Linked DNA regions of Ovis aries. The protein of the gene in region 7 purifies or fractionates together with the protein of the main gene of each other region. This does not show direct contact. Links are inferred from orthologs where the notes say so. Each region holds a gene or a part of one and is shown on either strand. Other genes may lie near its edges.

Evidence for each region.
Region 1: the proteins of YAF2 (region 7) and L3MBTL2 purify together in Homo sapiens (affinity purification with mass spectrometry; 5 studies listed by BioGRID and IntAct, counting the BioPlex papers as one, with this or other methods). This does not show direct contact. The link is inferred for Ovis aries from reciprocal best matches to the Homo sapiens genes YAF2 and L3MBTL2.
Region 2: the proteins of YAF2 (region 7) and MGA purify together in Homo sapiens (affinity purification with mass spectrometry; 5 studies listed by BioGRID and IntAct, counting the BioPlex papers as one, with this or other methods). This does not show direct contact. The link is inferred for Ovis aries from reciprocal best matches to the Homo sapiens genes YAF2 and MGA.
Region 3: the proteins of YAF2 (region 7) and CSNK2A2 purify together in Homo sapiens (affinity purification with mass spectrometry; 9 studies listed by BioGRID and IntAct, counting the BioPlex papers as one, with this or other methods). This does not show direct contact. The link is inferred for Ovis aries from reciprocal best matches to the Homo sapiens genes YAF2 and CSNK2A2.
Region 4: the proteins of YAF2 (region 7) and TFDP1 purify together in Homo sapiens (affinity purification with mass spectrometry; 3 studies listed by BioGRID and IntAct, counting the BioPlex papers as one, with this or other methods). This does not show direct contact. The link is inferred for Ovis aries from reciprocal best matches to the Homo sapiens genes YAF2 and TFDP1.
Region 5: the proteins of YAF2 (region 7) and E2F6 purify together in Homo sapiens (affinity purification with mass spectrometry; 4 studies listed by BioGRID and IntAct, counting the BioPlex papers as one, with this or other methods). This does not show direct contact. The link is inferred for Ovis aries from reciprocal best matches to the Homo sapiens genes YAF2 and E2F6.
Region 6: the proteins of YAF2 (region 7) and DCAF7 purify together in Homo sapiens (affinity purification with mass spectrometry; 3 studies listed by BioGRID and IntAct, counting the BioPlex papers as one, with this or other methods). This does not show direct contact. The link is inferred for Ovis aries from reciprocal best matches to the Homo sapiens genes YAF2 and DCAF7.

The regions. Positions count from the first base shown.
Region 1 is NC_056056.1:218,193,311-218,197,467, reverse strand, and holds the start of L3MBTL2 (lethal(3)malignant brain tumor-like protein 2), read right to left. Parts: upstream 2,801-4,157; 5' UTR 2,734-2,800; coding exon 2,710-2,733; intron 903-2,709; coding exon 662-902; intron 1-661. UniProt on the Homo sapiens protein: Putative Polycomb group (PcG) protein. PcG proteins maintain the transcriptionally repressive state of genes, probably via a modification of chromatin, rendering it heritably changed in its expressibility.
Region 2 is NC_056060.1:35,312,770-35,316,269, reverse strand, and holds part of MGA (MAX gene-associated protein), read right to left. Parts: intron 3,089-3,500; coding exon 2,146-3,088; intron 1,376-2,145; coding exon 1,297-1,375; intron 1,178-1,296; coding exon 1,082-1,177; intron 1-1,081. UniProt on the Homo sapiens protein: Functions as a dual-specificity transcription factor, regulating the expression of both MAX-network and T-box family target genes. Functions as a repressor or an activator.
Region 3 is NC_056067.1:25,635,747-25,639,952, forward strand, and holds the start of CSNK2A2 (casein kinase II subunit alpha'), read right to left. Parts: upstream 2,801-4,206; 5' UTR 2,468-2,800; coding exon 2,364-2,467; intron 1,596-2,363; coding exon 1,484-1,595; intron 1-1,483.
Region 4 is NC_056063.1:86,051,448-86,055,631, reverse strand, and holds the start of TFDP1 (transcription factor Dp-1), read right to left. Parts: upstream 2,801-4,184; 5' UTR 2,672-2,800; intron 1,855-2,671; exon of another isoform or gene 1,709-1,854; intron 1,434-1,708; exon of another isoform or gene 1,322-1,433; intron 968-1,321; 5' UTR 905-967; coding exon 893-904; intron 1-892. UniProt on the Homo sapiens protein: Can stimulate E2F-dependent transcription.
Region 5 is NC_056056.1:20,407,617-20,411,116, forward strand, and holds part of E2F6 (transcription factor E2F6), read right to left. Parts: coding exon 3,479-3,500; intron 2,532-3,478; coding exon 2,418-2,531; intron 988-2,417; coding exon 831-987; intron 363-830; coding exon 313-362; 3' UTR 1-312. UniProt on the Homo sapiens protein: Inhibitor of E2F-dependent transcription. Binds DNA cooperatively with DP proteins through the E2 recognition site, 5'-TTTC[CG]CGC-3'. Has a preference for the 5'-TTTCCCGC-3' E2F recognition site.
Region 6 is NC_056064.1:47,621,860-47,625,359, reverse strand, and holds part of DCAF7 (DDB1- and CUL4-associated factor 7), read right to left. Parts: intron 2,955-3,500; coding exon 2,837-2,954; intron 1,614-2,836; coding exon 1,441-1,613; 3' UTR 1-1,440. UniProt on the Homo sapiens protein: Involved in craniofacial development. Acts upstream of the EDN1 pathway and is required for formation of the upper jaw equivalent, the palatoquadrate. The activity required for EDN1 pathway function differs between the first and second arches.
Region 7 is NC_056056.1:144,742,232-144,746,364, reverse strand, and holds the start of YAF2 (YY1-associated factor 2), read right to left. Parts: upstream 2,801-4,133; 5' UTR 2,659-2,800; coding exon of another isoform or gene 2,613-2,658; coding exon 2,587-2,612; intron 2,156-2,586; exon of another isoform or gene 2,145-2,155; coding exon 2,019-2,144; intron 479-2,018; exon of another isoform or gene 100-478; intron 1-99. Other genes in the region: uncharacterized protein LOC132659532, read left to right, coding at 2,611-2,658, 2,830-3,275. UniProt on the Homo sapiens protein: Binds to MYC and inhibits MYC-mediated transactivation. Also binds to MYCN and enhances MYCN-dependent transcriptional activation. Increases calpain 2-mediated proteolysis of YY1 in vitro.

The DNA.
Region 1 (4,157 bases), about 73 Mb from region 7:
AGAGGAAAAGAAGACAGGATGAATGGAGAGGCAAAGAGTATTAGATGCTTCTCTTCTAAAGAGTAAAGGGACCAAGAAACAGGAGTGTCATCACAGACCATCTAACCTGCCTCTTTGCACAGGCAGTCCCCACACTGGAGGCCCTGACACCGAGGTCCAGCAGCTGTACAAGCATCACACCTCTGACGCCAACTGGCTTCCAGATGATTCACAGGGATTCTTATCTGCCCTCATCCTCTTACCTGGAGGTCACTTAATTCTGTATTTCCTTGCCTCTCACTTCCGACTCACGAGCTATTTCTTGTCCCTTCCCAGAGAGTAACCAGATCACATTAGGTGTCGTATATTCTCAAGACCCAGGCTTAGAAATCCACCAACTATTATTATTTACACAAACGCAAAAGCACCACCATGTTAATGATCGGCATCTAATATGTGCTGAATGAATATTAATTGTGAGAAAAGAATGAAATCACAACTTGAAATCAGACTGAAATGACCCTTGGGGATACTTGGGGTGCCTCTGTCTCTCTCACAGGTCCTTAGACATCAGATCAAAGAGCCCTTTACACCTGGACGGCTCCGCCCACCTGGCCTACATCTGCCTCTCCATCCATAGCCTCTGAAACCTCCCTATCTTTGGGGGACACTTTGAAGGCACCTGGCTCAGAACCACTGCCGTCCAAGGACCGGGGCGTCCCAGGGCTGAGCAGATGCAGCGGGGAGGTGGGCAGCTCCCCTGCTTCCCGATCCTCATGTTCTGCTTCACTTGACTCCTCAAGATAGGAGCTGCTCTCACTGCCCACACTGCTGTTGTAACTCCGGAAGCTGTCATAGCCGCCGAAGAGCTCCAGGTCATCGTCTTCCTCTTCCTCCTCCATCGGTTCTGAAGACGGAGTCTCCTAGGAAAAGGATGACACAAAGCAGGCAGGAGCAATCGTGGTTGGCTTACTGTAAGACAAGGGAAACTGCAGGTCTGCTATCAACTCCCTTTCCAGGTCCTGGTCAAGTCAACGCTTCTGGGCCGAGCGGCAGGTACAATCAAACACCCCTTTCGTAAACACCAGGATCATTACTCTTGTTTATACCTTTCTCAACTGCAAGTCAAAAGAATACCTTAGCCAGACAGAAACATGTATTAGGAATTCACCAGGGTCCTCTGCGGATTTATACATGACGACATTTTACCACAATTCACACAGAACAGAGTGATGTGAAAATATACTAAGCATGGTGCTTCGTGAAGACATTCTGGAAAAGATGTATTCCAGAAACTCATTCTTCCCCCTTCAGCAGGTATACACCAAAGTAATTTCAACTCAAAAACAATTTAAGTCAGACGAAAGTTAATTTGGGGCCCAGACTGCCCTAAAGAGGATTTGAGGCAAATGACATACTAGCACTGTGGGACATACCTAGCTTTGGACCTAGCCTTGATCCTAACTAGCTGTGGGTCCTTGGGCAAGTTATTTAACCTGTCTGGGTCTCATTTTTCTCATCTATAAAACAACAACAAAAAAAATTGGTTCAAAAGATGTGCAATGTGAAATGAGGTATTCTATATGAATCTACGTGGCATGTAGCAGAAAAGGTGTGAAGCGTTTGGGCTCTAGGCCAAGACTCCAAAACCATCCCTACTATATGACCTGCAGCAGTTCAATCTCAGTGCCTCGGTTTCCCCATCTGTAAATGAGGACAATTCCACCTATTTCATAGGCTTTGGGGGAGAAGTAAGGGTTACTATGGGAAAGGCACTCAGAATAGTGACATGCAAACAGCAAGTGCTCAATAAATGCTGGTGATCATTACTGGTTAAAAGCACAGGCACTCAAATCGGATATGCCGGAGCTGGAATCCGGGCTCTCCTACTTAGGGCTCTCGGTTTCTCCATCAGTACAATGGCTGTAACAAGCCTTCTTTAGAGTGCTGCTGTGCGCACCCAGGCGCTATGTAAAGCCTAGTTCTGTTCCCAGCAGTCAGTGACAGCTCTGAAACTGGGAGTTATCATTCACACTCTACACTGATGATGATTCTTCTTGACTCTCGGAGAGTTTGTGAGCGATTCCACTTTATATTTACACTACATATGCAAATGTGCCAGAAAGGACATTCAAATATAAGGTAACCAGAAGCCAAATGATGAAAGGATATATGGGTTGCAGGTGGTGGGAAGAATGGGAAAAGCAAAACAGGGAGAGTTTTGGAACCTGACAGACTTAGTGCCCATCTCCTTCACTTTACAGCTGCGTGGCCCTCCTGGGGAGTGGCACTACCCTCTCCAAGCCTCAGGTGCATGATCCATAAAAAACAGACAATAACACAGGACTTGTTACTGTGGGATAACGCACGAGAACGCTCCAGATACGGAGTGTTTATTAAACTTTAATCTTCCTTTACTTCCCACCAGGATGTGACAGGCCTCACAGTCCCTAAAGAGGCCACCATGAGACAAGGGGGAGAAGGAAGATTCAGGAGCTCTCATATCCTGAACCCAGTTCCTCTTCCCCCAGGCCAGTGAAGCTGTTCTTCCCTCAACCTCACTCGGACCCAGGAGAACGGGAGCAAAAGGCGATGCCAATCGCCTCTGGCCTTGCTCAGCCTAACTACCTGTTTATCCATTCTTCCATCCTCCACCCTCCAGGCGTCGCTCAAAGGCCCACCGAGCGAGGCTCTCGGGGTTCCCTTTCCGAGAAGTCCTCTCCCTCTCACCTCGACGCCCCGGGGCTTCTCCATGAGACCTAACACAGTTTCTTCAACCGTCACCAGGTGCAGGAAGCCATATTGGCCTCGCCGCTCTCCCGGAGCTTACTCATTGGCCGCCTCCCAGGGCCGAAGGCCAATCACGCTGCAGGAAAGAGGTAAAGCCGGTTCCGCGCTGGCCTGAGCCCCGCCTCCCCTGGAGGCGGGGAAGCCGCGGGTGCTTATGGGACTTGTAGTTTCCTTTGGGCTGCGCGTGGAGGGGGTCGTTGCTGTGGCGCCGTGAAAATTTCCCCGCCCCAGACCTGCCTGACCCGGGAGGATAGTTCTTGTTTCTCCACGGTAACCTCTTGCTATCACACCGACTCCGTTCTTCATTAAACAATTATTGAGTACCTAAGAAGGTACTAGCAACCTTCCCTGGTGGCTCAAAGGTTAAAGCGTCTGCCTTGGAATGCAGGAGACCAGGGTTCGATCCCTGGGTCGGGCAGATCCCCTAGAGAAGGAAAATGGCAACCCACTCCAGTACTCTTGCCTGGAGAATCCCATGGAGGGAGGAGCCTGGTATGCTACAGTCCATGGGGTCGCAAAGAGTCAGACACGACTGAGTGACTTCACGTAAGAAAGTACTGTTCAGGCACCCTCCAGGAAAAACCTCGCCCTTTCCCTGATGAGAAATTAAACGTGCCCTAGTGCGGGGATGCCTAGCAGAGAGACTGTTCCCTGTTTAGGCAGAAACTGGAATACTCACTCTTAGGTCCAATGGTATAAATGTCCCACATGCTTAAAATTCTGCAACACTCTACCTTGCATCACCATCTCCTGAAATAAACCTCAGATATGAGGCTCTCTGCCTCATTCTTTTGGGACCCACAACGGTCTTTAAGGACCCACAACCGTCCTTACTCACAGTTCTAGGTGCTGTAGTAGAGCTTTAAAAAAATATATATTCATTTATTTGTCTGTGCTGGGTCTTCCTTGCTGTGTGGACTTCAGTTGCAGAGAGGTGGGGGTAAGGTGGGGGCCACTCTTCCTTGCAATTCGTGGGCTTCTTATTGCCGTGGCTTCTCTGGTGCAGAGTACCAGCTCTAGGACACAAGGTCATTAGTTGTGGCACACAGGCTTAATTGCTCCACAGCACGTGGGATCTTCCCGGACCAGGGATCAGAACCCTGTTTCTTGCATTGGCAGGCGATTCTTTACCACTGAGCCATCAAGGAAATTCTATCATGGAGCTTTACAAACATCTTAAATCAGGGACAATCAGTCACTGTTTCACAAATGAGGAAACAGTGGCCCTTTGGGTTTAGACACTTTCTAAGATCACATTTGATTGGAATTCAAGATTTATTCCAAATTCTTTGCCTATGCTATACTATACTCTTAATTGAGAATCTAAATATAATAAGTAGGCCTTGACATGTGTTAAATATATTTCTAAATTTGAGGTCCACTAGATA
Region 2 (3,500 bases), on a different chromosome or scaffold from region 7:
AAAATAGCAGAAATGAAACCAAACAATAAAGGACAGCAAACATTATTACCAGCAAGACTAATATGACATGATTGATTTTCCATTACAATCCACAGTATCCAGTCCTAATTACTTGGATTGAAATTTACATACTTTAACACCATACTGTCACACAGTCTCACATTAAATCAAAAAGTTCAAACATTACCACTGAATTTAGAAACTGAATGGCTGTTTACAAATCAATGCTCTGCTGGTATATAATGCTTAGACTTTCATATAAATGATGTACTATACAATGTGAATCAGCCTAGACAGTCCTTTGAAAATTGACTGTCAAAACTCAAACTACTCCAAGAAGCATACCTAAAAGATATGAGAAAATTAAAAGTTGAGGCATGGTTTACAGTCCTTCTGTTTACAGTGCAAACAGGGAGGAAAGTCAGTAGTTAATTATAATGGCATAGGTATGGTAAATTGTGCTATTCTTTAAAAAAGGATTAAACCATTTAAGCAGGGCCAAGATAAATTATTTCAACAAAATAGGTAATGATGAAAATTTTAAACTACACTCCAAGCAATATAAGAAATATATAAAATGTTTACAGTCACGTATAAGAAATAAGTATTCTCTTTACACAGCTAAATATATTACCAAGTACATAAAAAAAGTAGGGCTTCCCCTCCAAAAACAAAACAAAGGAACCTTCAAAAAACCCCAGAAACAAAAGCAACCAAAATTGCTTTATAAGAAAGAAAAACACCACTTTCTTACCATGATACATTGTTAATGCATAATATATTATGCTTCACCAATGATAGAACAATATCCTCTGAGTCTGAAAAGGTTTCTCTTAGGATACAAAAGACCTAGGCATGCTTTTTAGTTAAGGGAAAGAATCATGAACAGAGAGAACAAAAAAAAAAATGCAAGCTGAGAGAAGGGCTAAAATAAATTAAATCAAAAGAAAGGGGAAAGGAGGAAAACAGAAAAGATTTGGGGAAGGAACAAAGGGAAGAGAGAAAAAAGAGAGGGCAAGAAGAAAAAAGAACAACAACAACAAAAAAAAACAAGGCTTGCATAGTTTTCAGAGAATTATACCTTCTTGAAGACCAGGATGTATGACCTGCTTGTGCCGCAAGGCCTTCAAATCTTCTATCAGTTCCTTTTCCAACTGGGAAATTCTTGCTCTGCAACCTACTCAGAAAACAATGATAAAAATAAGCTGCTATATACTACAGCAGACTACACATTGCTTCTTTCACTTCTAGAACCAAATCCTCCATCTCTCTTTTTTTTTTACTATTATATAATACCTGGGTCATTTGCAGCTGATGCCTGAAGACTACAAGATTCTTCACTTGTTCCATCAACTGCATGAATATCTAGAGCTTCCTGTATTTAAAAAGAAAAAAGGAAAGAAAAAAAGTGGTTCATGTCAGTTCTAAGGATTTAAAAGTAAACCAGGGGCATTTTTTCCATGTTGATACTTTTCACTATTTTCTAAATGTTCTAGATTAACATCACTTTAATAGTGGGGAGAAAGCAAAAAATTTAAATATAATACACTCAGCTACCTGACTTAGAACTGTATTTATGCCCATTTATTGCAATTTGTATACTGATTTCTTCTGCGTGCATGCTAAATTGCTCCAACTGTGTCCGACTCTTTGTGACCCCATGGCTGTAGCCTGCCAGGTTCCTCTGTCCATGGGATTCTCCAGGCAAGAACACTGGAATGAGTTGCCATGACCTCCTCCAGAGGATCTTCCCAACCAAAGGATCGAACCTACGTCTCTTATGTCTCCTGCATCGGCAGATAGGTTCTTTACCACTATCTCCACCTGGGAAGCCCCTGTTTAATTAAGATAGATTACTCAGCAATTAACAAAGAGGGAGGAAAAGAACAGGCAGAGAGAATTCAACCTCTGTGTAGTCAATTTACAAAGACTAGGTTTCTCTAAAAATCTAAAAGAAAAATAATCTAGTTGAAGCGTTGGATTAATACTGCTAACCCAATATTTCAGATACTCCCCTTCCCATGCACACAACCTCATATAATGGATGCATTCACAGTAACTACATTCTAAGATAACTAGCAGCTAGTATACAATTCAATGGTGATTATTTGGCCTTAGAAAGAAAGCTGAAAATGACAATCTTACCTTTGATTCAAAGGAAACAAAGAGAACACCATCTACATCTTCCAGGTCAGGTTTCACATCTGGAAAGGTACTCCCAGGGCCTGTAGGAGTGTTCTTCGTAGAAGTTAAAGATCTTCCTGTGTTTTTAGGCGGCCGCCCTGCCTTAGACAGTTTCAGTTTTCGTGGCCTTCCTCTTTTTCCAGGGACATTTGGAGGGGCATTCTGATTAGCATTCACAGTCCTAGGAGCCGCTGAAATCTTAAGCATAGTTTTCTTTCTGCCCAAGTCCTCTTTTCCTAAAAACGAGTCCTCAACTGAACTCTTTGAACCATCAAGTAGTTTTTCTGTGTTAACAATGTCAGATATATCAGGGTATTTCCACTGAGCTTCTTTAAGTGAGGGATATTTTTGTACTACTCTGATATCTGGTGAATGTCTTCCAAGATCATTTTCTGATTCTCTGCCTAAGCAGAAGCCAGTCTCATTAGAATTTTCAATGTACGCAGGCAAATAGTCTAATTCTGTCAACAGAGAAGATCTATCCTTCCGAGATGTGCAAAGCATGTTGTCAGGGAGCTCAGAAACCTTCACTGTGCTTTTGGTGACAGCACAGGGCTCCAGATAGACTACTGGCATCTTTCCAGCATCTAATTTGAACATTTTCGCTTTAGCAACACCTGATGGGCTATTTGGTTGCCATTTAGAAGATGGATGGTCAGCTTCTAGGTTATCAGCTTTATTGTGCCTTTTCAACTGTTTCTCTAGTATAGGATCATCATCACTGTTTGAGTATACATCTGTTTCCTCATCTGTCTCTTCCTGTTTCACAGTGACCCCTTCTGGGCACTCACCAAGTTCATATTCATAATCATCCAAAGGCTCTTCTTTAATGACAACATTGAAGTTTTCATTTGGGCTTAATGGTGACGTTACATGGGAGCCATCTTCAAAACTGTTGCCAAGGCTGGAGAGAGAGGGTAGGGAGGGTTAAAAAGGACAGAATTATCCATAAATAAGACTCAAGAAGGGAAAGGTAGAAAAAGAGATTGTTGAAAACCAAGTAAAATCACATCAGATTTCAAGAGCCATTCATTAAAAAAAAAAAAAAAACAACAGCACTCTGTATAACATAACAAGCTTCTCAATGGTTTACCAACATCACACTTTTACATATTCCATCAATTTCTCATGAAAAATTTATAAAACAAAGGGTAAAGTTTTAACAAGTAACTCTCATGACTAAATCAAAAAGCAAGATATGTTGTAACAGTTATTTTTCTAATAGTATTCTTCATCGCTTCTCAGCCTTTTGGCTAAGATCAAACCTAACTACTCTTCAAATGAATTCAATTTTGAAAGTTAGCTGGCACTGATAC
Region 3 (4,206 bases), on a different chromosome or scaffold from region 7:
GACATTTTTCTGAAATTGCTTTAGTGTCAGCAGTTCGTCCTTCCAAATGCACAGCAATGGAATGTAGATATTCTTAATTTCAATTTATGTCTTGCTTACTTCCTAGAGAGATTTTAACCAGCTTATAGTAAAAACATTTATGCTAATATACTAAGAAAAAAGCTGTATGGCTTTCCCAGGTGACTTCTCTGAAGAAAGCATCTTTTTAAATATTTATGCTTGTGAAGAAATACAATAACAAAAAAGATGACATGATTCTGTGGGTGCAACTCATATTCAGGGAAGAGGAGAGTCAAAAACTCCACATTTTCAATATCAGTTCCTTACTTCTTACCCCCAGCGTTTCTGACAGCATAAATTAGTAACTTGGCTATTTCTCTCAATCATAATCCTGTCTCTTCATCACTAGGCTAGACTGGTACGGAGTATCAGTAGAGTCACTCATTTTTCTGAAAAGCGATTTTCAGACAGTCCAAGCCTGACCCCTCTTTTTAAACAGGAACACAGCTGCCCTAACTCTACTTAAGATGACAAAAACAGCCTTTCAATCCTATATTCTTATCCACAGAACCTCTCCAAAACGGCTATACTGGAACTCCTGTTTGTGTAAAAGTGCTTATATTAATTAACTCTTTGGTCACCTCAAGATTTCACTAAATGACATGCACACAAATGAAATAATCTGGCAATGATGAATACCCTTCACAGATTCTAAGAACTGTTTTTTAGTCCACCCTGTAAAACATTATCAAAGCTATATAACCAGTTACCTGGAAGAGAATTTAGCCAACTCTTCATACTTAGTAAGATCATGTCTCCATCCAAGAGATGACAAAGTGTGTATCTGCTACAAACTTAGGCTGCTAAACCAGATTCAGGCTGGTTTGTTCTAATCATTATTTTAGTGATTCTAAGCGTACTCTCTACTGCTCCCAACTTCACTTTTACTGGCTGATAAGCAACTATGAACCTCCCTGGCCCTGTTAGCTCACTGTATGTACCCCATCTGAACCATTTAGCACCAAAGGAGAAAAAACAAGCAATTATTCACTGGGGTGTTTCCTTCCACTCAGTCTTCAAACTCCTCTTTGAAGCTACTCTGTTTCCATCTTTCTTTCTGGAATAACAAATTCAGTGCTCAAGGAGCCTTTGTATCAACTGGGCTCTTCATGAAGAGGCTCTTCTTGCATGTGAATACCTATTTAGTTTGTAACAAATGGAGGCTCTTTGGAATATTCACTTTGGGAGCCCATAATTACATTTTAGAACAAGGATGTTCCTGAACTACCATGCTTAGATTTGAAAAAGGTCTGTGTGAAAAAAAAGTTCAAACAAAAACAGCTGTGGGAAGAGTAGCAGAGGGACATGGGGCAGAAGGTTTTTAAAATGAGTTTGTCCTGCTCATTCTAGAATGTGGTTGGAGTAGTTTGTATCCTTCTGACCTGTGAAAAAGAAATTTTAATGCCACTCATAAGACACTCACCTTGAGAATTTTTACCACCACTCTCTCGTTGTTGGTGATGTTAATAGCCTCAAATACTTCACTATACTTTCCTCGACCAAGTTTCCGAACCAGCTGGTAATCATCTTGATTACTGGGAAAGACAAGGAGGACACATAAATGCCAGGACTTGGGGTTAACCAAGGCTATGCCCACTACACATCCTCATCCAGGCGCTTCCACTGATCAAGCACTTGGAAGTGTCTATATACCTCATGCCATAACTTATTCCCTACACGAAAGCCACAACATAAACTTGGCTCTTTTCACTGGACGTAGCTCCTAACCTAACTGGTCCCTCATAACTAGGGGGAGACAAGGTGGGAAGGCAGGCGTCTGAGCCAATCTAGCGAGATGAGCTGAGCATCCATCCTGGAGGCTCACAGGTGCCCCTCTGCCCACAGCACCTGCCTTATTACTTCACTCCCGCAAGGTAGACAGCGCTCGATTTGAGAATCTGGACGTCTTTAAAAAATTTCCTCCCACCCAGCCTCATTTCAAAAACCTCAAAAAGGCAGAGAATTTTAATAGCTCAAGAGGACAGCTGCTGACTTCCCACCCCAACAGAAACCCCAACGCGTGAGAAGGAAGGGCTGCTCCTTCACTTCCACCAGGCTCTGGTCCCTGGATCCCTACACTTGTCAGTAAGAGAGCATTCCCCGAGGTGAGAGGGGTGCGCACCGCTGAGAGGAAGGAACGAGAAGCGGGGAGAGGGAGACGAGAATATGGTGGGGAGGGTCTGCTTCCCACCCCAGAGCCGAAGAGGCGCGGGCCCAGCGGGGAGACAGACCACGGGGGGCGAGTGCGGTTTGCGGCGGGGGTGGGGGTGCGAGGGCCCGGAGGGGGGCTGCGGCGGCTTTACCCCCAGCTCGGGACGTGAGCTTCATAGTCCCAGTATTCGCGGCTCCTCAGGCTGTTCACCTCCGCGTAGACCCGGGCCCTGCTGCCCGCGGCCGGGCCGGGCATGGCGGGCGGGACCGGGGGGCGCCGCGGGGCGCCGAGGGTGGCGGCGCGGCGAGGGGCGCGGGGCGACGGGCAAAGGAGGCGGCGGGCAGCGGGCCGCCGGAGGAGGAGGAGGAGGAGCGCGGCGGCGGGCGGCCGCGCCAGGCCGGGCCCGCGGGGGCGGGCGGGCTGGGGGGCGCGGGGGGCGCCGGCCGAGCCGGCCCGGCCCTGGAGCGGCCGGCGGGGCGGCGGGGCGGGCAGCGCTCGCGCTCCGCGGCGGCCTCCGCTCGGCTCGCGGCTCCGAGGCGGCGGCGCTGTCGGCGGCACCAGCAGCGGCAGCCGCCGGCCGGGAAAGGGTCAGCGACGGCGGCGGCGGCGGCGAAGAAGGAGGAGGAGGAGGAGGAGGAAACCCGGAAAAGGGGCCGCACTCACTAGGAGCGGCCGCCGCCCGGCCCGGGTCCGCCCAGGCTCACAGCGCCCCCTGCAGCGCGGGGGGACCCTCCCGGCGGCCCCGCCCCGCCCCGGCCCCGCCCCTCAAGGCCGACTTCCAATCTCTCTCTCCTGGGTCTGGCCCGCCGCGCTCACCACAGGGTCGTCCCCAGCTGCAGGCTGTGGCCCTGGAGCCTTGTGCCTCGTATACCGTTTTAGGACTCCCCTAGAGACCCCTGCCCCAAACGCTCTGCCCTCTAGTCATCCAGAGTTTACCCACCCCAACCTCCCGGATGGACCCTGTTGTGATCTTTTTGTCACCCAAACTGTTCCCAACAAGTCCCTTCCTAATGACTTGCTCTTAGCTCTCAGAACCGCTCCGTCATAAGATTTCCCCTTCCTTCCCAGAGACACGCCGTCTTCCCCTCAATGGACCGTGACCGGTCACCCATAGACCCTTGAACTTCAAGACTTGCCCGTCTCTCTCATGTATCACCTTCCTCATAAAACCCTTCTCATACACTATCCCCAAAATTCCCTTCCAGAACCTTCCCTAAGACCCCTCTGTATGTTCACATCGGACACTTGGTTTAGCTGGAGTCAGCCAGGTTGCTGGCTGTAAAGCTCCTATTTTTCCCTCCATAATTAATAAGCGATACTTTGAGATCATGTAAATACTCTGGTTTTGTTTGGGACCACACCAGGAGACGAATTGTGAGAGTTCTGCCTGTAGGGTTGGGCTGGGGGTTGGGCATGGACTGAGGGTGGGGTGGCCAACCAAACCTTGGCCTATTTTATTATCTTGCTTTCTAGCCCTGAACATTCTTCTCTCTATGATCTTCTGGGCCTTTTGTCTTGCTTTCCCATCCCACTTTTTTTTTTTTTTTTTAATCAACACAACTTCCTCGCACAGCCCAGTTTGTTCTAATCTTTTTTTCATATTCTATTCTCTAGATGAGACTGTTTCCTCTTTTTTTGATATGGTTAAGAGCACAGACAGTGGAGTCAGATTCATCCCAGGTTTGAATCCCAGCCCTGCTACTTACAAGCTCTGTGACCTTGGGCCAACAACTTAACCTCTCTGTGCTGTAGATTTTACAGCATAAAAACTGTAATGGCATCTACTTCATAGGGCTATGGGGAAAATTAGACAAGTTAAACCGTGTAAGGCAATGTCACAGAACGCTCAAACTACCGCACAATTGCACTCATCTCACATGTTAGCAAAGTAATGCTCAAAATTCTCCAAGCCAGGCTTCAGCAATACATGAACTGTGAACTTCCTGATGTTCAAGCTGGTTTTAGAAAAGGCAGAGGAACCAGAGATCAAATTG
Region 4 (4,184 bases), on a different chromosome or scaffold from region 7:
AAGTTTACTCACGATGTTCTATGGGTTCACAACAAATGTAAACAAAGCAGAATTGTTCACATTCTGTTTATCACATTTCATTTTTTTCTGAGAAAAACAGTTGCCAAGTCCAGTGCTGAGCGTCTTCATGGGTGGAAGCTGAACTAACTCCCGGGGGGCACACAAAGCAGCTGCTCAGGGAGGCTCGCCAGCCCCGCGCCTCCACAGGCAGGGGGTCCTCTCACAGAGCCCTGGCTGATTCACAAGTCAGCCAGCCTCCAAGAGACCCAGGAGCGTGGCGGCGGCCAGCCTCCAACCAGCCTCCAAGAGACCCAGGGGCCGGCGGCGGCCAGCCTCCAACCAGCCTCCAAGAGACCCAGGGGCCGGCGGCGGCCAGCCTCCAACCAGCCTCCAAGAGACCCAGGGGCCGGCGGCGGCCAGCCTCCAACCAGCCTCCAAGAGACCCAGGAGCCGGCGGCGGCCAGCCTCGAGACGCAGCCTCCAAGAGACCCAGGAGCGTGGCGTCGGCCAGCCTCCAACCAGCCTCCAAGAGACCCAGGAGCCGGCGGCGGCCAGCCTCGAGACGCAGCCTCCAAGAGACCCAGGAGCGTGGCGTCGGCCAGCCTCCAACCAGCCTCCAAGAGACCCAGGGGCCGGCGGCGGCCAGCCTCGAGACACAGCCTCCACCGCTCAGGCCTGCGTGGCCCAGGCAGAGGCCAGCATGGCTCAGGCCGCGCGCAGCGCCACCGGCTGTCCCCGCCTCCTCACCTTTACTGTGTCTCTTTGCTGGAAAGGTCTGAACACCGACAGGCCCGCAGTTTATGTGTGGTCATTCTGAAACAAGGTGGGGAGTGACCGAGAACGCAGTGCTGGGCAAACATCGGTCCAGCACAAAGCAGACACACGTACTCACATCTTTTGCCATGTTACCAGTTCCGTGAAATCGATGCTAGTAACGGTCACCCTCCAGAAAAGAAAAATGGTTTTCCTGGTAAAAAGAAGGAGAGGGGAGTCATGAGCCAGGCTGAAACGAGAAGCTGACACCGCCACCGTCCCCTCAGCATCACCACCCATCTAAGCGGCAGGAGTCCCTTCCTCTCCAAGCCCTCGCTCCGTCCCGGGGCGGGGGGTGCGGGGGGCGGCCCAGAAACGCCCCCCGCCCGGGCACTCTAAAGTCATCTCAGGCAGGGAAGCGTCCACAACCCGGCTGCCCGCCGGCCTCCCCGAGGCGCACAAAGACCCGGCGTGGACCAGCCTGGCACCGCGGCCCGATGCCCCCCCCCCACCCCACCCGGAGCGGCCCCGCGCGCACGCGCTCCCCGCGGACGCCCCCGGGGCCCACCCGCGACCACCGGCCGACCGGTAACTCTGACAGGTGGGCGTCCGGGGCCGCGGCCTCCGGCCTGGCGCTAGGCCGCGGCCGCCTCCCGCGAGCGCCCCCCGCGCGCCGCGGCCGGCAGCCGGCGGGCAGGTGGGGCCCGCGCCCCGTCCTCGGCCCCCGGCCCCGCGCGCCCGCCCCGCCCCGACCCCCGCCCGGCGCGCGCGCCGCTCCGCCCGGAGGCTGCGCGCAGGCCCCGCCCGCGCCCCGGCCCGCGCCCCCCGCGGGGGTCACCGGGGCGCCCCGGCGGCGGGCCCGGCGCGCGGGGGGCCCGGGGCGCACGCGGCGCGGGGCGGGGGCGGCGCGGCCGGGCGCCCGGCGCGCGCCCCTGGGGACCCCGGCCCGCCGCACCTGGCGGGCGGGCGGCGCGGGCGGCGGGCGCGCAGCCGCGGGCGGCGGGCGGGGGGCGGCGGGCCCGGCGGCGCTCGGCCGGGGTCCCTGCCCTGCCGAGGCGCCGGGCGCGGGGCTCACCCTGCGAGCGTCGGGCGGCGTGACGTGCGCGGCGCGGTGACGTGGGCGGCGGCCCGGCTCCCGCAGCGCGCCTGCGCGCCTTTTCGCGCCTTCGGCGCCCTCCTCCTCCTCCTCCTCCTCCTCCTCCTCCCCCCCCCCGCCCCCCACTCTCCTCCCGCCGGGCGGCCCGCGCTTGGAGGAGATGAGCTGCTCCGGCGCGTGCCCGCGTGTGCGCGCGTGCCCGCGTGTGCGCGCGCGCCGGCTGCGGATGGAGAGGAGGGCCTGGCCCGGGACTCCGCGGTGCGCGTGCGGGGGAGCTGAGTCAGGGATGTGTGCACACGTGCGCACACGGGGCACAGGGATGGGGGTGCGCGTGCGTGTGTGTGCACCCTGGGGATAGGAACTGGGACGTGTGCACCTGTGCGCACACGGGGACCGAGGCCTGGTGTGTGTGGACGTGCATGCTCCTGGGCGTCACGGGCTGGGGGTGTGTGCGCACTCCGTCGGCACTTGGGAACCAGTGGAAGGTGTGGAGATGAGTGTGTACACACACGGGGCCAGGGATGGGGGTGCGCGTGCGTGTGTGCACAGCCAGTAGTAGCGGATGGATGCGAGAGTGTGCACAGAGGCCAGAAGTGTGTGTGTGCGCGCGCGCGTGCAGATGTGCGCACTCGGGGGAGCGGGCTCGAGTAGCGCACAGTGAGTGTGCTCTTGGAGGAGCAAGGCAGGCTGGAGTTGTGCCCGCAGGCGTGTTTGAGCGGGTGCATGTGTGTGCACAGGAAGAGGAGGTCGGGTGTGTGCTCGTGCAGATGCTCGGAGGTGACAGCGTGTGCACGCGCAGTGCCCTGTCCGCCGAGTGCTCACCTGTTCCTGCCCAGCCCGAGGTCTCCACGCCCACGCCCGGCCTCTGCCCAGGCTCTGAGTCTTCTGGACGGAAGGGTGCCGGCCTGCTCCTTATCACCAGGTGGCCTGGGCTGAGTGGAGTCTGACCCTGGAGACTTGCCCCCGGCGGTTCACCATCAGCCCAGCCAGGGCAGGCGGGGCGTGGGGGCCGAGTCCAGAGTTCATGGGGCACAGAGGACTTGAGCTATCGCCTTACACGCTGCCTGGGACGGTTCCACAGTTTAACCACTTTCAACCTGCTTCTCTGGCAAGCCACTCCAGTCTTGAACTCTTACCCTTAATTAGCGTTGGTTTCTTGAAAAGCAGGAATCTTCCCATTCTTCCTGCTGATCGGTATGCTTTCTACACTTAGAGCAACAGGGGTGATGAAGACCCGGCGGGAGGAGTGGGGAGTAAAAGGCTTCGGAGGGACCGTCCTCTGTCCCTGCAGGCTGGACACCTCTGCCTCCCTGTGGAGAAACATGCATAGCTCCCCACTGGGAGGGCTGTGGTGCCTGCACCTCCCACCCCGTTCTGTTTCTCAGAAAGTCTGTGTTCCTCACCCCACTGCTCTTTCCAAGAAATTCCGTCTTTCTCACTGTGTTGGAGTCTTCACCCCCATGTGGCAGCCAGAAGCCGCTCCCTGGGGCTCAGGTGCACAGACGGACAAGCCTCTGGGTGAGGGCTGGGTGCTTGGAGAGAGGAGAAACACAGGATCAGAGTCCGAACCCGAGTCCTCTCCCCACAGATTCGAGAGTCCAGTCATTGACCAGTATTTACAGGGGATAACTAGCTCTCATATTCAAAATCATTTCTGCACAGAAATCACTCGTGAAACACTCTGAGCTCGCTAGCGCTGCCGCAGCATTGAAACAAACCTCTGGCTTTCTCGGAACCTCTGCCTTTATAGTCAGTTACCCTACAGAACGCCTGTACCTCTGTTGAAAGGTGACAACGTAATTTTGGTTGAAGATCCAAATGTTTTTGGCCACATCTCGCCTTGAAACCCCTAGGCTGGCAGAGACGTGACCTAGGCGGGTGATGACCCCACGCGTGTGTCCGTCAGTCCTGCCTGCTCTGGGGAGTGTGCCAGAAGTTGCGGTCTTAGAGAGCCTTCCACCAGTGTCCACTTGCTCCTCCTCCCTGGGGCTGCACCGTCACTGTGTCTTCCGGGACAGCACGGGGAGATGGTGCTGCTCCGTGTTCCGTTAGAAGGCTGACCCGGGCTTCCCAGGAGAACGCCCGCCTGTCACTGCGCCCCCTTTCTTTGTGGGCCTGATACAAAGCCTTACCCCCACCCCCGTTAAACTCTCCTTTGAAGAGAGAGAAAGTTTTCTAATCCCTTGAAAATCTGAATTCGAAGTCTTAAATATCCAACTTGTCTTCGGCTCCCTCCTCCATGACGGGTCTCTTCTCTGTTTTCCACCTTCTTGGGTGACCATGCAATGGTGACATCAAGAGGTGGGGAGATGGAGCGGGGAAGGGGCCAGAGACT
Region 5 (3,500 bases), about 120 Mb from region 7:
GGCAAAGGGCAGAGTCCACGAGGAGCTGTCTACCCTGCCTGCCTGTCTGTTTCACAGTTGTGTGATTCAGTAATTTCAGTAGGCAAGATGACCGCTTCACTGGCAAAAAAGCAGTGAATAATTATAAAAAGAGCTGCTTTCAAATGCAGAAACCGCCATTATCCAGAAATCTAAGCAGCAAAGTGCTTGGAGGCATTCCTGGCCTTCTTGCGGCTACCAAGCATGAGAAAATGGCAGGGATGATTTATTGCTCTGAGGATCTTCGTCCACACAGGAGTCCAAGAGACTCAACACATGGACCCTCAAACACCATCAGTTGCTCACTTCAAGCACTTCTTCACTTTGCTGTGGAAGATTTTCTTCTGAAAGATAACAAACACGGGAGAAATCTTCCTAAATGATGGTCTCAAAGGCAGGCAGCTAAGAGAACTTTCGAGATAAAATAGGAAGACCTCAGTCAAGAACCATATTCTTACGTGAGTGGCATAAGGCTAATGTTTCCAGTCTCACAAGAATAATAAACCAGGACTCAAGCATGAGCCTGAGGGCCTGGGTCAGAGGATCAGACAGCCTGCTCTACAGAGACCACACTCCAAAACCAACCATTCTAACTTTTCACGGATATTAAAATTACATGGGATTTAACAACAGGGTTGTTAGAAGCAGTAAGCAACTATAGCATAATTTTTAACTCATGTTTTTGTAGCTAGGAAGAGTAAAAATACCTCTAAGGCCATAATATTCATTTTATATTATTAATTTTCATATTCACAATATTCATTTGTAAAACTATACACATTTAAAAAATCGTTTTAAATCGGCCTGTTTACCTTTCTCAGGTTGAGGGTGCTCCAAAGGCTTGCTTTTGGATGAAGAGGTCCCTACACTGTCCGAAGTTTTATTACTTGAGTGGGAACCCTGCTCCACTTCACATAAATAAACATCAATGGGTCCTTTGGTGCTCCTGATATGTACTGTGATAGAATCCTAGCAAAAGACACAGAAAGCATTAAGATGAATGAGAGGATTCATGAATTACATTTTTTCACTTATTAGAACTGTTAAAGTTTCAAGGGACACTTTTGGAAATTCTCATCCAGGTAGTTTCTTTGCTGTCATATATTTGAGAATATCATGTACTTGCTTAGACTGAACCACAGGAAGCACTCACTAGGAAGTATCACTTCGAAGTCACAACTTGAGTGTGACTGGAATAAACAAAAGGTGCTCCTTAACTGTCTGTCATACACTGTCCAGTTAACAGCTAGGGTCTCACGTGCACTGTGGTCTTCTGGGGATAAAAGGGAAGGTGGGTAGGAGCTGCTTCACTGAGGGAGGTTAAGTCCCCTATTGCAAAGAAGAAGACACAACTTCAGTACTTCAGCACGACTTCAGTCTATCAGGCCTTCAGCACTCCATCTGTCCTAAGAATGGTCTCACTCCTTGATTCTGATTCCACCCTGAACACGCATCTTCAACGAGTATCTTTCAACACAAACTTTCCTGTAAGCAGTGGACAGTATTTCCACACACATTAATTTTACTTTTCATTTTAAATGTTTAACTTAGAGTCCTCCTTTCTCTGTTGAGTCTTTTATGAGTTTGGCTAGTGAGCTAATTCCCCAGAGCCCTGTTTGACACTGGATCTTAACACTGAGGCCAATTCTTGGTGATTCCTCTAAGAGCCCATGATAGTACGATGGCTAAGAACAGACTCTGAAACCAAACTGTCTGGGTTTGAATTCTGTTTCTCTCACTTACTGTATGATGGTAAGAAAGTTTATCATTCTGTGCTTTAGATTTCTCATCTGTAAGAGGACAATAATCATGACTACTGAGTTTCTGTTACTCAAAACACATTAAACACATTAAAATGGGTGAAGAGCCTTGAGCTGTGGATCAGGGATGCAGCTAACATGCACACTAGTTATTAAGTTACTGGGACTGCAACAACGCACAGCTGCCGCAGCTGGCTTGCCTGCCTTTGTTGTTGTTTAGTCACACAGTTGTGTCCAATTCTCTGTGACCCATGGACTGCAGTCCACCAGGCTCCTCCGTCCATGGGACTTTCCAGCAAGAACACTGGAGTGGGTTGCCATTTTCTTCTCCAGGGGATCTTCCCAACACAGGGACTGAACCCGCATCTCCTGCACCGTAGGTGGATTCTTTACTGCTGAGCCACCAGGGAAGCCCGTTTCCCTTTAAACCTTCTTAAGAACGGGAGTGGGGGGTGGGGTGGGGTGGAGAATTCTTGCTTGGAGAATCCCCACGTACAGAAGAGCTTGGTGGGCTAAAGTCCATAGGTGGCAAAGAGTCAGACGTGACTTGAGCAACTAAGCACATGCACACACACACAAACACGCATGCACGTAGGTGCGCGCATGCACACACACACACACAAAAGCAGGGCTACCTACCTCTTTGGGAGCTGGAACATCCAATCTGGTTTCTGCCGGCGCTTTAACTGCAATTACAATCTGTTCATAGAAGGCTTGGATGCTGTGAATGTCTTGATACGTCACATATGCTAGTGTAAAAATCAGTTAAGGGTCTCTAAACAGAGGGTGGAGATTAAAAAATAATTTCATATGTAATTCTTACTATTTCATCAACGATCCTTAGGATTTCATGAAGTGTTTTACAATATAACTCAAAAGAATTCTTTTATACTACTGTGATAGTGATGACACTTTCTGGAGAAAAAATAGTAATAAAGTCTGGGTGTTTAAAACAAAGACACCACACGAAGGTATTCAAACCTCCTTGTACTTTTCCCTATCATTGTTACATCTTATGAGAACCTCTAGGGGAAAAAAAGTGTTTTGATGAGAATCTCCTAAAATGTAAGGGAGAAAGAATCTGTTAGTAGTAGAAACAACTTAGAACCAGTTTTTCAGGACTATCACGTACTCATGGGAGTGCTCTCATCCCAAACTATTTTCCATCTTGCTACCTGAATTTTTCTCATTTTATTGTATTGCTTGAAATTTTACCATTTACCTGATTTAAAGGGTTTCCCCAGCATTTTTTTTTTTTAACTCCACAGACCTTTTTGACTGAGTCCAGTGACAGCATTTACTTTCCTTCCAATAACTGTATTGTGGAAACAGGAGTTTTTGACTGGTGTAGAACCTCAGTAAATTTGAAACGTGGACTAGCTCAGTATCGGTGACACCTCAGAAAGGTGCTGCATGGGGAACACGGCAGCAAAACTGTCTAGGAGACTAGGGGAGAGATCAGAATCAAAGACAATCTCCCCCTTTGGTCCCAGAGACACTAAACTGAAGAGCATGACCATCCAACTGCGTCAGGCCTGGTGGACTGGAAAGGCAGTTTCAGTATGATTTCTATAGCAGTTCATTCACTTCAAAAGGTCTGGTTTTGTATCTTAAATATATTAACTAAATTTCCAAGCTGAGCCTACTATTTAAGGTAATTGCTTTGGGAGATTTTTTTTTAGGGTACAGATTAAAGGATATCTTTCATTTTCTTTGTCATCT
Region 6 (3,500 bases), on a different chromosome or scaffold from region 7:
GGCAGAGCGTGGCAAACCAGACTCCCCCCCGACTCTGGGCGTGTCCCAAACTCTGCCCGCCCAAGGACTCGCCTACCACCAGAGTCACACACAAGACCCCTCCCTGGAACTCATTCATCTAACGGAAAAGGACACCCACCGCCTCCATGTCCAATACTGCTCAGAACTGAAACTTGGGGCGGGGCGACTGATGGGTTTGCGGGGCTCTGAACTGGCTGGCCCTGGGTCTCTGAAGCTTCTCTTGCTCTCTGGTTAACTGATGGCCTGGGATGACCCCAGCCTGAATCCATCCTCTGCAAGAGCTGACTGTCTCCCACAGCCTAGAGGAGATCTTGTTTGGGATGGACACTCAGACTGGGCACCTGCCAAGGAGGGCTTTCTCTCCTCTCTAGCGGAAGAGTGGCCAACGTACCACCAGTCACAGTGAACTAAACAGAGATACTGAAGTTCAGCTGATGCATCACGCCTGCCTATCGTTCAAGACATGAAAGAGGATGGCTGGGGGCTTATATTTGGAGAGAAAAACAAGACTCTTAAACTGTGGACCGGAAACATTCTCTAAGCTCAGCCTTCCTGCCACCGTCCCCTGGGAGTCGGGCACCCCCATTAGCCTGGCTAGCTCAGTAGGTCCTGGGGGGCTGGACAGGCGTATGTACTTGAGGGAGTAAGAGCAGGGGTCACATGTCTATTCAGGAGCTCAGAATGCCCTCGACAAGAGCCAGGCCAAGGAAAGGTGTGAGGTGGCCGACTTCAGAGCACCGAGGAGGTTTGGGACTCCCAGTCAGGTATGTTCCGCCCAGGCAGTGATTCAAGAAGGCAAACTGCTCGGAGGGTCAGGGGCCTGAGGCCAGATCCAGGCAGGGAGGGAAGAGAGGAAGGTGTCAACAGGGAGGGCGATAAAACCAAGGAAGAGGCCAGGGAGTAAAATTCTTTTCGTTAAAAAATTAGCCCGATAGATTAAAAAATATACAAAGTTGAAATTTGTTAAGAGACACGGGTAACATGAAGAAAGACAGTTTCAAACTGGTGTTTGTTCCCAGGAAGTGCTCACATGGACAAGGACCCAGACTGCTGTCTTGGGCAGACAGAGACATCTGCGACAGATGAATACAGACACAGCCGCTGCCCACAGAGCTCATTAACATGACGGCTGACAAACAGATATACAGAAATTTTTAATAGCAGAACCAAAGGAGATGAGGAAAGGAGAGAGAAATCGAAACACTCAGCCCTGGGCTGAGGAGGCGCCACGCTGCGCTGAGTCCGGCACAGCGAGCGGTGGGCGGCTGGCCGGGGACTTTGGAGCAGTTTCTGCTAACAGCGGGTGCAAAGCGATGACAGACGTACTGGCCACCGGAAACGCGCGTCTTCTTACTCTGGGGGTGGGGCAGAGGCGGGAGACACACGAGCCCCTGCCGTGTGGGCACGACGCCACTGACACTACACTCTGAGTATCTCCAGGCAGTTGTTGTAGCAGATGGCAATCCAGTCAGGCTGGGTCGATGCCCACTGCACGTTGTTGATCTCCCCCTCGGCTGTGTAGGCCAGGATCGGGTCCTCGATGGCCCGGGGCATCTGCTGGATGTCCCAGATGAGGGCCTGATGGTCATCCGCTGGGGGCACAGAGAGCCAGCAGGCAAGTCACCACTCAGGCAGTGAGGGTCATGAGCCCTGCATCAGGGCGGGGGCACACTTTACAAAGACTCACTCACCCAAACCCCATGGAGGGAGGTTTCAATGATGAGGAAATGTTAAGGCAGGTGCCCTGCGCCACAGAGCTCCGCACCAGTGAATGGCAGAGCCCTCCACCTCTGCATCTCAGGGCCCGTTCCCCACAGCAGAGCGGGGATGGCAGAGGGACTCAGACCAACACCTCATCTCCTCTGAGGCGGACATCAGGGAAGAAAGCCGGGATGCGATCCCCCACATGGCACCTTCAGCCACTTAAAGTACCTGAGTCATTAAAGATCCCGCTCTGATGATTCAATTTAATGGGATTTTCCCCCATCCTACGGACATACATGCATCAGCGAGGGCCACAGTGAAGAAGGCAGGCCACAACCTGAGGCTCAGAGGAAGTGGGTGGGCCTGGGCCTCTGGCTGCGCTTCAACAACATGGACAGGCATGAGCAGAGGGCCCCAGGAAGAAAAGCTTCATGCTTCCAAATTCATGCTGAATTGGCCCCAAACCACCAAACTACACTGCTAAGGTGGAAATGGGAAAGGAAGGAGGGACGATGACTTTCACCCTCCTGTTTCATACACCTCTGCGTTGTTTCAGTGTTGTTTAATTTTTAATACCAGACATTATTTCTATGATAAAAGAACTCTGACGGCCAGCACATTTTTAAGGGGTCCTCTTGGGGTCTAGCAGATGGTGAAACGGGAACTACACATCCCATGCTGCAGATCCAGTCAGGTTCTGCAGGGCCCATCAAGGTACCCAGAGCTCAGTGCAGGGGCGGGGGGCAGCGGGGCGGAGGTTACAGCCAAGGAGACTGCCCCTCTTCTCATATTCCTGGATGCACGTCCTGCGCAAGCCAGGATTCTGGGGGCACACAGCGGGCAACACAAGCCTGTAACTGTATACGATGTAGACAGTATACAGATTCTCTGATATCACTGAGGGTACAAGATCATCTGGGAGTTCAGACTGTTTCAGCTACGCTAGTGTAGGGAGGTTCTCAGTGGCATCACTCTCTGTAAATCTCTCAAACCTTCCTTGGGATAGAGTGAGGATTATGATGCTAAGGAGACCAGAGGAAAACCTCCCCCCACCTCCCTTCCCATCACCCGCCTCCAGTAATCCTTCCCATCACCCCCCTCCAGTAATTACCTGCAGTACAGATGTGGCAGGATGAGTGTGGGGCCCACGCAATGCCATTGACGCATGCTCGGTGGTTGTTTAACCTGGCGACAGGCGTGCAGGGAACTCGGACGTCCAGAATCACCACCTGCAGAAAGAACAAGAAACCCCGGTGGGTGACAGGAAAAAAAAAAAAAAAAGATACTACACAGGGGAGAAAAAAAAAGTGTACATATAACTTGCTCATCTGTAGACTTAACAGACTCTTAGAGACAGAGGGGTCCCCAAAATAACTGTAAGATTGAGGAAAAAGGAAACAAAGGCACGGGCCATTTATAGTCTGTATCACAAGCCACATGGGGCTTCTAGGCTGCAGGGGAGGCGGACAGGCAGGTAACACGAATGTGAATAATCCACCATGAGCCATCAGGTGTACTCAGAATTCTGTGCCTGCTCAGCTGGGCAGATGAGAGCCCTCTCCCCTGAACCCCAAAGCAGAATCTGAAAGGTACTGGCTTCCTCAAAACACAGTTCATCACAGCGTCATGTGCACCCACAACTGACTGCTTCTGTGAAACAACAGGCTACACGGCGGCCATTTCCCCGTCTATTCACTAAGGCTGGAAGACTCTGCCCAGACGACAGAGGGAAAACTGCCTGTTTGTCTACTCGGCACCAGAAGCATGAATGATTT
Region 7 (4,133 bases):
GAGCTCTTAGGTTTAACTTAGGGCCAAAATCAAAAGAGAAGAGACAAATTCAGAGAGAGGAAGGAAGCAGCTGAGAGGGTCGTAGTGTAGAACACTTACTTTTAGGAACAGAGTGTCCCTTAGACTTCTGGTGAGTTGCCCAGAGCCTCTTCAGTTTCAATCCAAATGACAATGCTTCTCTGAGTCCTTCTCAAGAAATGTTTCCACCACTAAAAATTGGATCTATAAGAGCTCAGATGTACTGGTAAAAAATGTCAGGGGCCCCCAACGTGGGCCTCAAACCTCTTTTAAACTAGGCCCACTTCTCTGTCCTGGGCCAACTCCCCTGTGCACTATATTCCTTCTTCTTCCAGGTGCCAGGTATTCGGCCTGTTTCTTCTCTTCTGAGCTGCCACCACCTACTCTATTTCTCAGGGTTCCTCTAACCCCAAGACTGGCTGTGGAGTAGGACACCAGCTTCCCCCCTTCCTTGCTGTCCCTGCAAATAAACATATAGGCTCTTCTAGTTTCAGTATTTTTCTAATGGCTACAAGAACATAGAGAGGGAACAACAAAAAGCAACAATACCGTACCAGAAGTTAAGATTATAACTATCTCCACATTAAAGTTCCTGCCTTTTCTTAACATTGTTTATTGAGCATTTTAAAAAGTACAAAGTACTACATTGATAAACAAATATAATGTAAACCAAATCAAACCTTATATAAACTAAAAGATATAAAGATACTTTGCTTTTCAAAATACTTAAATCACGGGTCCAAAAATAGCTACCACATTCATTTCAGCAAATGGTGCTTTTTCCTTTTCCGTATGTTCTATTACATTCCCTTGAATTTAGCAGTTGTTCGAAAGTTTGCTTTTTAAAAGATATCAGGAAAATATTTAATTTATTGAATCTAATAAGACTATACAAACAGCATATTATGGTTTACAAAAAGACAGGTATGTCAAAAGCAGCTAGCTTCAATAAGCAAATCTTAAAATTTTAAGTTTTTTATAACCATTTATGTCTCTACATTTAAAATTTAATTAGAATCAAGATATCTCCTCGTTTTTAGAATCATAACTTCTACTGAATATATTCCCCTAAGGTTAATATCATATAGCCTTTTCAAAAGCAACAGTATATTGCATTTGTATACTCGTGATAATTCATTTTCCAAGAAACTTTAATCAAAAATATATGCCCTCTAAATATCAGGCCACAAATCATAGCAACTAAGTGCTGGCAGTTCAAGAATGTCACTGACTTTGAATCTCCTGAATGATCTTCTTTATCCACTTAATACACTTAAGTGGTTTTTTAAAAGACTGTTATCATACTGTAAGCTGACAATGAAATAAAGACTGAAAATAGGCAGAGATCATTTTATCTCATTTGTATAGTAAAATAGATTGCCATTTAATCAAACTAAAGATATTCAGATACTTTCAGGAAAAAAACGTGTCCCTGTGACTGGGCTCACCTCCAACTATTTATAAAACATTAGAGAACTGAGATTTAAAACACTACACAAATCCCTGATTTGACCTTTCCAGAGTCTATATTAAAAAAGGAAGCTTAATCTATTGTGTATTCTCTAATCAGATACTTTTTTTGAGGAACGAAATTAAATTACATCGTTTGCTTCTAAAGAGGTTTTCATGATATTTCTCTGATTCCTACACACTAACACAACAATGCAGCCAACGTTATTTCATCCACAAAATGTGGTGCGGATGAGGGGGTGGGGGTGGCATTACATCCAGCGACACAAATTAATCGCGGTCGAGCTAATGCCTCCCTTAAATAATTTATTCTCTCTTGGCAGCAAAAAACATTACAGCCTCTTCAATTACCCTCACCGCAAAGCTCGGGTCGTGATCAATCTGACCCAGTTCCTATCGCGGCCACCACCTCAGTCTCGCCTCGGCCAGCCGGGTCTGCCAGTATCCTGGGAGGGGGCGGCGGCCGCAGGGTCGTCCTCGGCGCCGGGACCCCGGGGGCTGGCGGCGCGCGGGGCAGGCCCGGGACTCACCGAGTGGAGGTGCCCTTCCGCACATCGCACATCATGCACTTGAAGGCCTCTGCGCTGTTCCGGAAGGTGCAGACGCTACAGTCCCAGTAACCCTCATCCGAGGACGGCTTCGGCTGCCGCTTCGGCCTGCAGGACATAACCCGGACACGGCGCGGCGCGGGGTCACCAGCGGGCCGCGCCCGGGCCCCGCAGCCGCCCCCGCCCCGCCCCCAGCCCCAGTGCCGCGACCCCCGCCCCGCCGGTCCCCGGCGCGCCAGGCTCCCGCTCGGAGGGGGAGGGGAGTCAGGAAGGCGGGGGCGCGAGCGCGGCCGCAGCAGGAGCCGCCGCCGCTGGACACCCGGGGCCGCTGCTGGACACCCAGGGCCGCTGGACACCCGGAGCCGCCGCCATCGCGGCTCCATTGTGGGGCGGCCGGCGCCGGCCCCTCACGCGGCAGCGCTCGCACAGCGGCGGCACCGCCCCCGTTCTCGCCCCGCTGCCCCGGCGGCGAGCGTGGCGGCCGCCCGAAGCCCGGCGCAAGGGCCCCGCCGCCTGCACAGTCCAGGCCCGGGGGCCCGGGCGCTGTTACCTGGTGGGGCTCTTCTTGTCTCCCATGACTTGGCTACAAACGCACGCCGAGAGTCGCCGCCGCAGCCGCTCTGTTTGTCAATAAGGAGGATAATAAGCCGGGCGGAAGCGGGCGGGGGAGGAGGGAGGGAGGGGGTGGGGAAGGCCGCGCCGCCGAGCTCCGGAGCCGCCGCCGGATCCCACGCAGCCTCCAGCTGTCGGGGAAACTCCTGCCTGGGCCACGTGACCCGCGCCAGCCAACCAGCAGCCGCGCCGGAGACTTCAAACGCGGCCAGCGCGGCCCAGCACTCGCGGGGAGTTCGCTGACGGCGGCGTGGGGGTGGCCGCCGCAGCCTCCAACGCCGTCGCCGCCTCTCTGCCCCGAGCCGCCCGCTTCCCTTGGGCGTCCCCCGAGCCTCTCTGTCAGGGTTATCTTCTGCCATCCCGCCCGAAGCCTGGGCCAAGGTGGGCCGGCTTTCGGAGGTCAGCTCGGCTCCGGACCAGAGTGCGCGGCCGCGGTCTCCAGGTAGAACCGCTCTCCGGGCCTGGCGCGTCCGCCCCAGCCCGAAGGATCCCCGGGGGCAGGCGGGAGGCACCAGTGAGCGCCATTGCTAGGTGCTTTAAGCCACTTGGTTTTGTGCACGCGAATGCTCTACCAAGTAAGGATTGTTGCCCTTATTCCGGAGGAAAAGAAACTGAGGCTCGGGAGAGGTTAGGTGATTTCCTCTATATTACATAATTAGAAAAGGATAAAGCTAGGACTCTAACCCTGGTTTAATTGCAGATGCGCTCTTCTCGACTCCCAGGCTTCTACAGTAACTGGTTCAAAAAAAACAATGAAGAAAACACTCATAAGACCTTTTTTCTTCTTTTTAAATAACGAGCTTGCATATGCCGTGAACGTTGTTAAGGAAAGAACACTTTCAGAGAGTGGGATGAATGGAGAGAGTAGCATGGAAACATACGCACTAACATCTGTAAAATAGAGAGCCAGTGGGAATTTGCTGTATGACTCAGGGAACTCAAACCGGGGGTCTGTGACAACCCAGGAGGGTGGGGTAGGTGGAGTGGGAGGAGAGAGGGAGGCTCAAGAAGGAGGGGACATATGTATACCTATGGCAGATCCATGTTGATGTAGGGCAGAAACCAACACAATATTGTAATTATCCTTCAATTAAAAATTAAAAAAAAAAAAAAAACAAAACACTGTCCTCCCAGGTCTGATTACCTCAGCCTACTGGATGCCCTCCTGGACTCTGGCAGTTGCCATCCAACTCGTCTCTCAGCTCCAGCCCCACCTCCTCAACCTATTCAGTAATTCACAACCAGATTAATAATAAAATTCTGGTAACATTCTGTCACCTCGCTGATTAAGAACTTTGCTTAGGCTCTCAGACTTGGCCTAATTAAAATAATTTTTTTTAAAAAAAACACACTCTTTAGCACTATGTGCTGGCACTTTGTAAATCTCTTTACACAAATTTGTGTTTTAAAGGTCTGGAAATTTACACATTTGTACTATGCAAATGTTCTCATCAACTGGCCTAACTACATTTGAAAGACAAGGAA